Linked DNA regions of Notamacropus eugenii. The main gene of each other region encodes a partner of the protein of the gene in region 2 in a complex. Links are inferred from orthologs where the notes say so. Each region holds a gene or a part of one and is shown on either strand. Other genes may lie near its edges. The genes, in order: UBE2J1 and HERPUD1.

Evidence for each region.
Region 1: HERPUD1 (region 2) and UBE2J1 share a complex: the UniProt entries of both Homo sapiens proteins name them as parts of the HRD1 complex. The link is inferred for Notamacropus eugenii from reciprocal best matches to the Homo sapiens genes HERPUD1 and UBE2J1.

Annotation. Positions count from the first base shown.
Region 1 is NC_092873.1:163,063,713-163,067,622, forward strand, and holds the start of UBE2J1 (ubiquitin-conjugating enzyme E2 J1), read right to left. Parts: upstream 2,861-3,910; 5' UTR 2,306-2,860; coding exon 2,275-2,305; intron 1-2,274. UniProt on the Homo sapiens protein: Catalyzes the covalent attachment of ubiquitin to other proteins. Functions in the selective degradation of misfolded membrane proteins from the endoplasmic reticulum (ERAD) and is essential for cells to recover from ER stress.
Region 2 is NC_092872.1:474,463,616-474,467,525, reverse strand, and holds the start of HERPUD1 (homocysteine-responsive endoplasmic reticulum-resident ubiquitin-like domain member 1 protein), read right to left. Parts: upstream 2,416-3,910; 5' UTR 2,206-2,415; coding exon 2,071-2,205; exon of another isoform or gene 1,984-2,070; intron 1,659-1,983; exon of another isoform or gene 1,558-1,658; intron 1,290-1,557; exon of another isoform or gene 1-1,289. UniProt on the Homo sapiens protein: Component of the endoplasmic reticulum quality control (ERQC) system also called ER-associated degradation (ERAD) involved in ubiquitin-dependent degradation of misfolded endoplasmic reticulum proteins.

The DNA.
Region 1 (3,910 bases), on a different chromosome or scaffold from region 2:
CAGTACCTGGTGATCAATCAACAGACACTTATGAAGGCGCAGCTCTTTCACAGGCATTCATCTATGTTCTACTGTATATATGCCCAAGGATTTGTAGAAGGGACTGGAGTAGTGGCATCAGGGTTACTTACTGCTTTGAATTCCTTCTCCCCTGATGAAGGGAGCCTACATAGGTATGTATGTAGTTACACAGGAGGCACTCTGCAGTGGAAATAATTCTGGACTTGGCAGTTTAGAATTTTGGGTTCCTGTTTCAAGTCAGGGCCTAAGAGCTATATGACCATAAGAGATTTCATTTTTCTGGGTCTCTCCTTCCTCATCTGTTAAAAAGGTAAATTTATACTGAGAGATATTATAAGAGAACCTGCCTTAGAGTCAGGAAGACTCTGAGACTTAACTCTTGACTCTGAGACACAATACCTTTGACCCTGGGCAAATCACCTTAACCTCTCTGAACCTCAGTATCCTCATCTATAAAAATGGAATAATTGTTGCACTTACCTAACAGAGTAAACATGATGATTAAACGAGATAATGTGTATAAAACATTTTGAAAACCTCAAAGCACTGTACATGAATAATAATCACTATCATGTGAGCTACAGTGCTAACATGTAAACTCCATTGTTTATCTTGGCTTTGAACAGTGCCTGGCATAGTGGGCACTTAAGTGCCTGTTCACTGATTCTTATCAGTGGACTTTTTCCACTTCCCCCTCATTCTCAAACACTGGATATGGATTGATATGTTTGAGGGTCAGGACAGTCTGGAGCTATGGTTTCCAACTGCAGATGAGGAAATTCCCTCTAAAACTGCAGACACCTGATCTGCAACTTACAGTATCAGTATTTGAGATTAGGTCACTCCTAGAGAATCCCACAGCCAGGATGTGTTCAATACAGGACAGGAACCCAATTATCCTTTATCCCAAGGGTAGGTAGGTAGACAGGTAGATAAATACAGCTACATACACATATGTAAAATATGTACATATATGAAGTACAAACACAACAACAAACATATGAAGTAGCATGAAATAGATGACCTATAAGGTTTCAGGGTTTAATAGGACCTTAGGATTCATCCAGCTTATATATATGTATATAGTCACACTACTCACTTCACAGACAGGGTTGGAAGGCAAATACCTAAAGATAATCTATTAGAAAATGCTATGAGTAAAAGCTTTCAAGTTGAAAAACCGTGGTGGACTCTAACAACGTAAGACCAAAGGAATATTTAAGAGCTGAAAATGACTCTAAAAACAGGAGTTTTTAATCTTTTCTGTGTCATGGACTCCTTTTAAATAATTGAAGGAAATACTGTATTTCAGTCAAAAGTTTGTGAAAATATAGACAATGTGTTTCCCCATCCAAGTTCCTAAGACCCAGCCCCACTTCAAAACAAAAAATCTATCCGACTCCGGCTTAAGAATCCTAGATCTAGGTCAACTCCCTCGTTTTACAGACGAGGAAACTAAAACCCAGAAAGGATAGGTGAGCTCCCCAAGGTCACCCAGGCAGTAGGTGCTCCAAGCTCCACATCTTCAGGGGATCACAGCTTTGGGGGATGGAGGCGACCTTTGGGGTTCTCCTGCTGAAACGCCACTATTTTACAGCGGAGGGCACTGAGGTCCGGGCAGAGTAAGGGAGCTGCACAAGGGCACAAGGGGTCCTCCGACTTCCTCCTCACCAAGGCGCTCTCCTTGGGGAGCGGGTCCAGGTCCAGACCTGCCACAGACCCCTCTCCCGTCTCTCCCGCACTTCCCCGCAGACGCCTCGTCCAGCGCGCACACGGACCAGCACCCCCGACCACGGCCAAGAAGGCGGGGCGGCCAAGTTGCCCGGGAAGTGTCCAGTCCGAGGGCAGCAGCCCGAGGAGGCGGCGCGGGCGCCCTGCGGGGGGGTCCCACAGTGTCCTGCGGCCTCTAGGGTGCCGCCCCTTTAAAAAGGATGAGGAGGAGAGGAAAAAGAAATGGAGAAGGCCAAGTGGGGTGAGGCCGAGGTCGGGAGGTGGAGGCAGGGCCCTCTCTCCATAAGCTCGGGCTGGGCCGGCCAGTGGACGAGCGGACGGCTCCCCGGGTCCCGGGTGACTCCGAGGGGTCATGCCCAGGACAGGCCGGACATCCGACTAGAGTAAGGAAGGGGGCCCTCGGGCGGTGACAGGTGGCGGGGCGGCGGCCCAAGGCCTCCCCGGCTGCCAGTCCGTCTGTCCGTCCGTCCGCCCGCGCATGCGTGCTGGGAGATGGAGGGGAGCGGCTGCTTCCTTCCCTACCTGGGCTCTTGAGGTTGTAGCGGGTCTCCATGGTGGCTTTGCCGTCCCGCTCCGGCCCCGCCACCGCCTCCTGCTCCCCGGCTCCGCGACGGGCTGCTGGCCCCGGCTCCGGCCCCGGGGATTTCCTGAGCCGGGGAAGCCGCGTCCCCCAGTCCCCGCCCCCGGCGGCCCCAGCGAGCGCCAGGGATACGCAGCGTTGGCGGCGGCGACGGCGGCGGGGACTGTGGCTCCGCCTCCCTGCCTGCGCTCCGCCCGCCGCGCCAACGCCTCCTTCCGCGCGCCGCCACCGCCTCCTTCCGCTCCGCCTCCTGGGGATCCGCCTCGCTGCCTGCGCCGGGCCCGCCCGGCTAGTGTCCCGCCCTGCGTCTCCGCCCCGCCCGGCCCCCGCCTGGAGGCCCGGCCCTTGCGGGCCGTCGCAGGCTTGGAGAGCCGGGGGTGGGGCCGCGGCCTGAGCTTCCGTTGTCCCGCCGCCGTGCCCGCCCGCCCCCGTCGCCCCCAATGCGGGGCCGGGTGTCGCGCTCCCTGCCCCGCGCTCGGTTTGTGAAGTTATCCTGACGTGGCAGTCACTTCGTGGCGGGCCGTGGGCCCGACGTGGTCACGCTTCCGGGCCGCCTCCCGCGCTCGCTGCAGGCCAGGGAGACTCGGTCGGGCTAGTCCGAGATCCGTCCTCGGTAGAGTCTAACCCACCCACCCCGCCCCTCACTGTGCGAGGGAGGAAACTGAGGTCCAGAGGAGGGAAAGTGACACGCCCGAGGTAACATAGTAACTAAAGGGAGGCGCGTTCGCCAAACCTTCTTTCTTTGGCCCTGTGGTGAATGAAGCCTATAGACCCATTCTCCAAATAATGGTTTTATATAATATAAAATAAGGCATATGGAATTACAGCGGAAAACAGGTTATTGAAATGAAGATGAATTTATTTTTTTGGCCCTTGAAACCAGATTTTACGAACCCTTCATGGAAGCTGACACTTTTTGTTTCATAGATGAGGAAACTGACCAGAGATTAAGTAGCAACAGCTATGTAAATAGCACAAAGAAAAATGGATGGAAACTGAATGCTGAGAAGTAGGACCAAGCTTGACCCCAAAGAAGGGAGGCGGAAATCAACAGACATTTATACCATGTACCAGGCACTGTGCTAAGTGGGAGACTGTGACTGCGTCCAATTGCATAGAACATGGGACTTTGGGTGCGTTGGTTAGTTTTATAGAATTTACCGTGAAGGATAGCCCTCTGGGAGGGGGATATGTGAAGAATGTAGGTGACAGTAACAAAAGCTATCAGTCAAAAAGATTTAAATGGCTTCTGGAGGTTGGGGGGTAAAGTAGAGGCAGCTAGATGAGAAGAGTGCTGGCCCTAGAGTCAGGAAGATTCCTCTTAATGACTTCAAATCCAGCCTCAGACATTTACTAGCTGTGTGACCCTGAGAAAGTCACTTAAACCTGTTTGCCTCAGTTTCCTCATCTGTAAAATGGGCTGGTGAAGAAAATGACAAACCACTCCAGTCTTTTTGCCAAGAAAACCCTAAATGGAGTCACAGAGTCAGACCAACAACAACAAAATGGGTATAATAATGGCACCTATCTCTCAGGGTTGTTGTAAAGATCAAATGAGATAATATTTGCAAAGTGTTT
Region 2 (3,910 bases):
TATTTTGATGTTTACAGGCTACTATGACCAAAGAATTTCTCATCCAGGAGTCCGCCTTCTGGGGATGAAATGAGTCTCGAGTGGCTGAGCTGTGCCAGAAAACTGACATAATCTGTTGCTGGGACTCTCCTCCAAGTCTTTTCTGGCAGAGACTCTCAAGAGGTTGTGCTTTGTTGACTAAGCCTTCAAGAACCCAGAGTCACCTAAGCAATGCAGTAGGAGTTTCAGGCATTTATAAACTTGAAAGTTCCATAAATACCAGCTCAAAACAGTACCTGGCATAGAGCATGGAGTATTTAATAAATTCTTGTGGCTTTACCTTACCTATCATTACTCTATGTCACTAATTAATATATTTAACAAAATCACAAAATCGAATGTTTTCTTACAAAACAAAAAATGGCAAACGATTTTGAACAATAAGCCAAACTAAATCTTGAAGCCTGGAAAGAAAGTAACTGCATTAAAGCAAAGGAAAAAATAACTACCCAGATGTTCTTAAGTTTCAGAAAGTTTTAACTTCTTTCTTCTTAACTTTAAATAAAATTGAATGTATTGTGCTGTAACAGTTTCTAAAACAGATATTCTGTAATCCTTTCCTGCCACCTTGGTTCTTTTTGCTCCCCATAATTAAGAATTATATAATTGGAAGCAAACACTACTATTGCCTATTACATAAGGCCACAGGGTAAATAAACAAAGGCTCCAACAACTCATACATGATCACATGAGGGAGGAAGGGCTTCAGATAAAAGGAAAGGTTGACAACACACCCAAACAAGAGAAGACACTGCCATCATGGCACAAAGTCCCATTGCTTCAGAAAGAGTTCATCTCAGATAACCACCCAAACAAGAAAATGCCTCTGTACCAGCAAGAACAAGGACCTAGCTAGGTACACAGCAACTGGAATAAGGAGCCAGGAGAAAGGAAGGTGGGAGAGAGGAGAGCAGACTTTTCAAGCCAAGTCTTTCCCAGTGAGGGTAAACCCAGGATTGTCATAGTATCAATACTGAGAAGGATGAAGACAAGTCAGTGTTAACACTGAAAAGGATTTGGAGACCTGCCCACTGTTTGTCTATAAATTTGCAGACACAATTATGTAACAGATGACACAAAGAACATTAAGAAACTTTATAATTTTTTAAAGAACTATGTTGAGGACATTGGAGAACATCTAATCCAGCCACTTCTTTTACTCGGGAAAAAACTGAGGTCAAAGAAGGGTGAAGCTCAAGGTCACAGAGTCCTGGGGCAGAACTGGAACCAGAAACCCAGGCTCCTGGATTCCCTGCTTTTCTGCCCCCACCCCACCCCCATTCCTCTAGTACTGTTTCCGCTCCGTGGGGGTGGAACAGGGAAAGATTTGGGTTGGAGAAAGGCGGACAAGTGGGCTGAGGCAGATGGAGGATGAAGAACTAGGGTGAGAGGTGGATTGGGTGGATGGGTGGGAGGGAGAGAGACTGAAGGACATCTAGGTGGAGAGGTTACTGGAAAGGACAGACTCCAGGAGGATGAGGAACTGCAGGGAGTTAAGAGGGAAGCAGATGAGAATTGTGAGGGGGAGGGAATGGAAGAGTTAAGGGAAGTGGACTGGAGCGAGGAGATGGAGGAGAGGAAGAGGAGGCGGTAGAGGCCGACAGCAAGGAGGAGACCTGGTGAGAAAACACAGATCTTCGGAGGTGGGGGAATTGTGGAGGAAGACAGGCATGGAAGTTGGGAGACATGAAGGCGGGGAAGGGGTGACAGGAAGGGAGTTAGCGAGCAGCAGAGAGGAGGAAAGGGAATTGCGGGCAAGGCGCGGCGGGGGGACTCGGTGACAAATGGACAAGAAGGCAGGGGACAGTTGCTGACCAGAGGGAAAGGGGCGGGTGGGGGTGGGGGAGGACGGCGGGGGGAAGAGGAACAGCAGAAACAGGTGACAGCTGCTGCAGAATCGGGGAGAGGCCTAGCCGATCTCTAAGGTTCCCCCCACCCCCTCAGCTCTGAATCGCCCCTTGGGAGCGGCGCAGAGGCCAGGCCAGGCCGAGAGCGCAGGGAAGCAAGCTGGGCCATGTCCCCCGGCCTCACCGGTCGCTCGGGGTAGACGCGGCTCAGGTGAGCCTTGAGGCGGCCCACGCTCCAGTTCAGGTCCCCGCTCAGCTCCAGGTCCCGGTGCCGCTGGTTGGGGCTCTTCACCAAGAGGGTCACAGGCTCGGGCTCCATGTCTTCTGGGTTCCCAAGGCTCGGCTCGGCCCGCAGCGGCCTGAGCGGACAGACTAGAGGGCGGTGCCGCCGCCTCTGCTCCCACCCTAGCCTGAGACAAACAGCCGAACGAACGACAGTTTCCTGCTCTGGTGCGCGCGACCCCAACCCAGCCGCCTTTTATGGGCAGCCCCTCCCCGCCTCTGCGAACGAATACACTGGATACACTGTGGCTGAAGTCTATTGGCTGAAGCCGAGGGTCAGCCCCAACGTGGCCCAATCGGAGCGCAGATCCACGAATGGGGAAGAGAAGCTGGGCTGCTGTTCCTAGCCGCTGGACCAAGTAGGGCGGGGCCGAGAGGAACTCTGAGGACAGACTGATGCAAGAGCCTGGAGTTGCGTCACCCTGGAGCACAGTGAGGCTTAGGACTGGGACTTGGGGCTCAGGGGCGTTGAGGCTGGTTTTCCTTGAACCTCGTCCCATCAGGCGGCTGAACTCTGAAGTGACCATGGCCAGTATCCCAGCCTGCGTCCACAGCCTCGAAATCTCTTTGAATGGTTTCGTCATAATGCATAATCCTTGCCCTGCCAGCCCCCTGACCACAGACGATCCCCCGACCTGCCTTAGATGATACCTTTGCCCTTTGTTTCAAAACCCTTCTGTCTGATTTTTTGGCAAATTTCCTCACATGTTCATAAAGCATTTTTATCTGGATCCCTACTTTGACACGGTTACTTCCTACCTTCTAGTATATGTTATCTGTGTAGATAGATGTTAGTTAGCTCCTTGTGACTTCGTTGTCTTTGTCAATCCAGAGCCTTGCGGTGCTTTACTCATACCTGGTGCTTGACAAACGTTTATGACGTCAGATTGAACTTGGTGGTTCAGCCCACAGGCCTTCAAGGGCTAGTGTGTCAGAAAAGACAAAGGCTATGCCGGTCTTAAGAAATCCCAAAGTCATAGTATAGGAGAATTTAGACCTTGGAAGGATCTTAGGAATCATCTCATTTCAAAGAGGCAGAAACAAAGTGAGGGGAAGTAATTTGACCAAAACTGCACAAGGAGTTAAGTAGGGTGACCTTGGAGACCCTGGTTTTTAGCTGGATTTGCCACTTGTATATTATCTACATGACCTCATCAGATCACTCAACCTTCCTAGGCTTCACAGCTTTCTCACCTGTAAAATGAGTGTGTTGAACTAGAGAGCCTCTGAGATTCTTATGGTAGAGTAGTGATTCAAACCCAGATTCCAAATCCCAAATTAATGGGTGTTTTCCACTACATCTGAATGGTCTTAATCTAGGAATACCATTCTTTGAAACAGGGTTTCTTAACCTTTGTGTGTGCATGTCATGGACCTGTTTAGCAGTCTTGTAAACACTATAGATCTCTTGTCAGAATCACGTTTTTAAATACATAAAATAAAATACATAAAATTGCAATGGAAATAAATTATATTGAAACACAGTTATCAAAATATTTAAGAAACAAAGTCACCATCTTCAGGATAAGACTACCTGATTTTAAAGATTTGCTGACAGAGTTCTTTCCTCCAAACAGTTGCCAAATTCATATTCCTAAAGCACAGGTCTGAGGATGTTTTTCCCTTGCTCAAGATACTTTGTTACAAAATACAGACTCCTTTGTTTGGAGCTTAAAGCTCTTCACAATAAGGACACAATCCACCTTTCTGGCCTTCTTTCACTTGATTTCGCCATCAAGTAT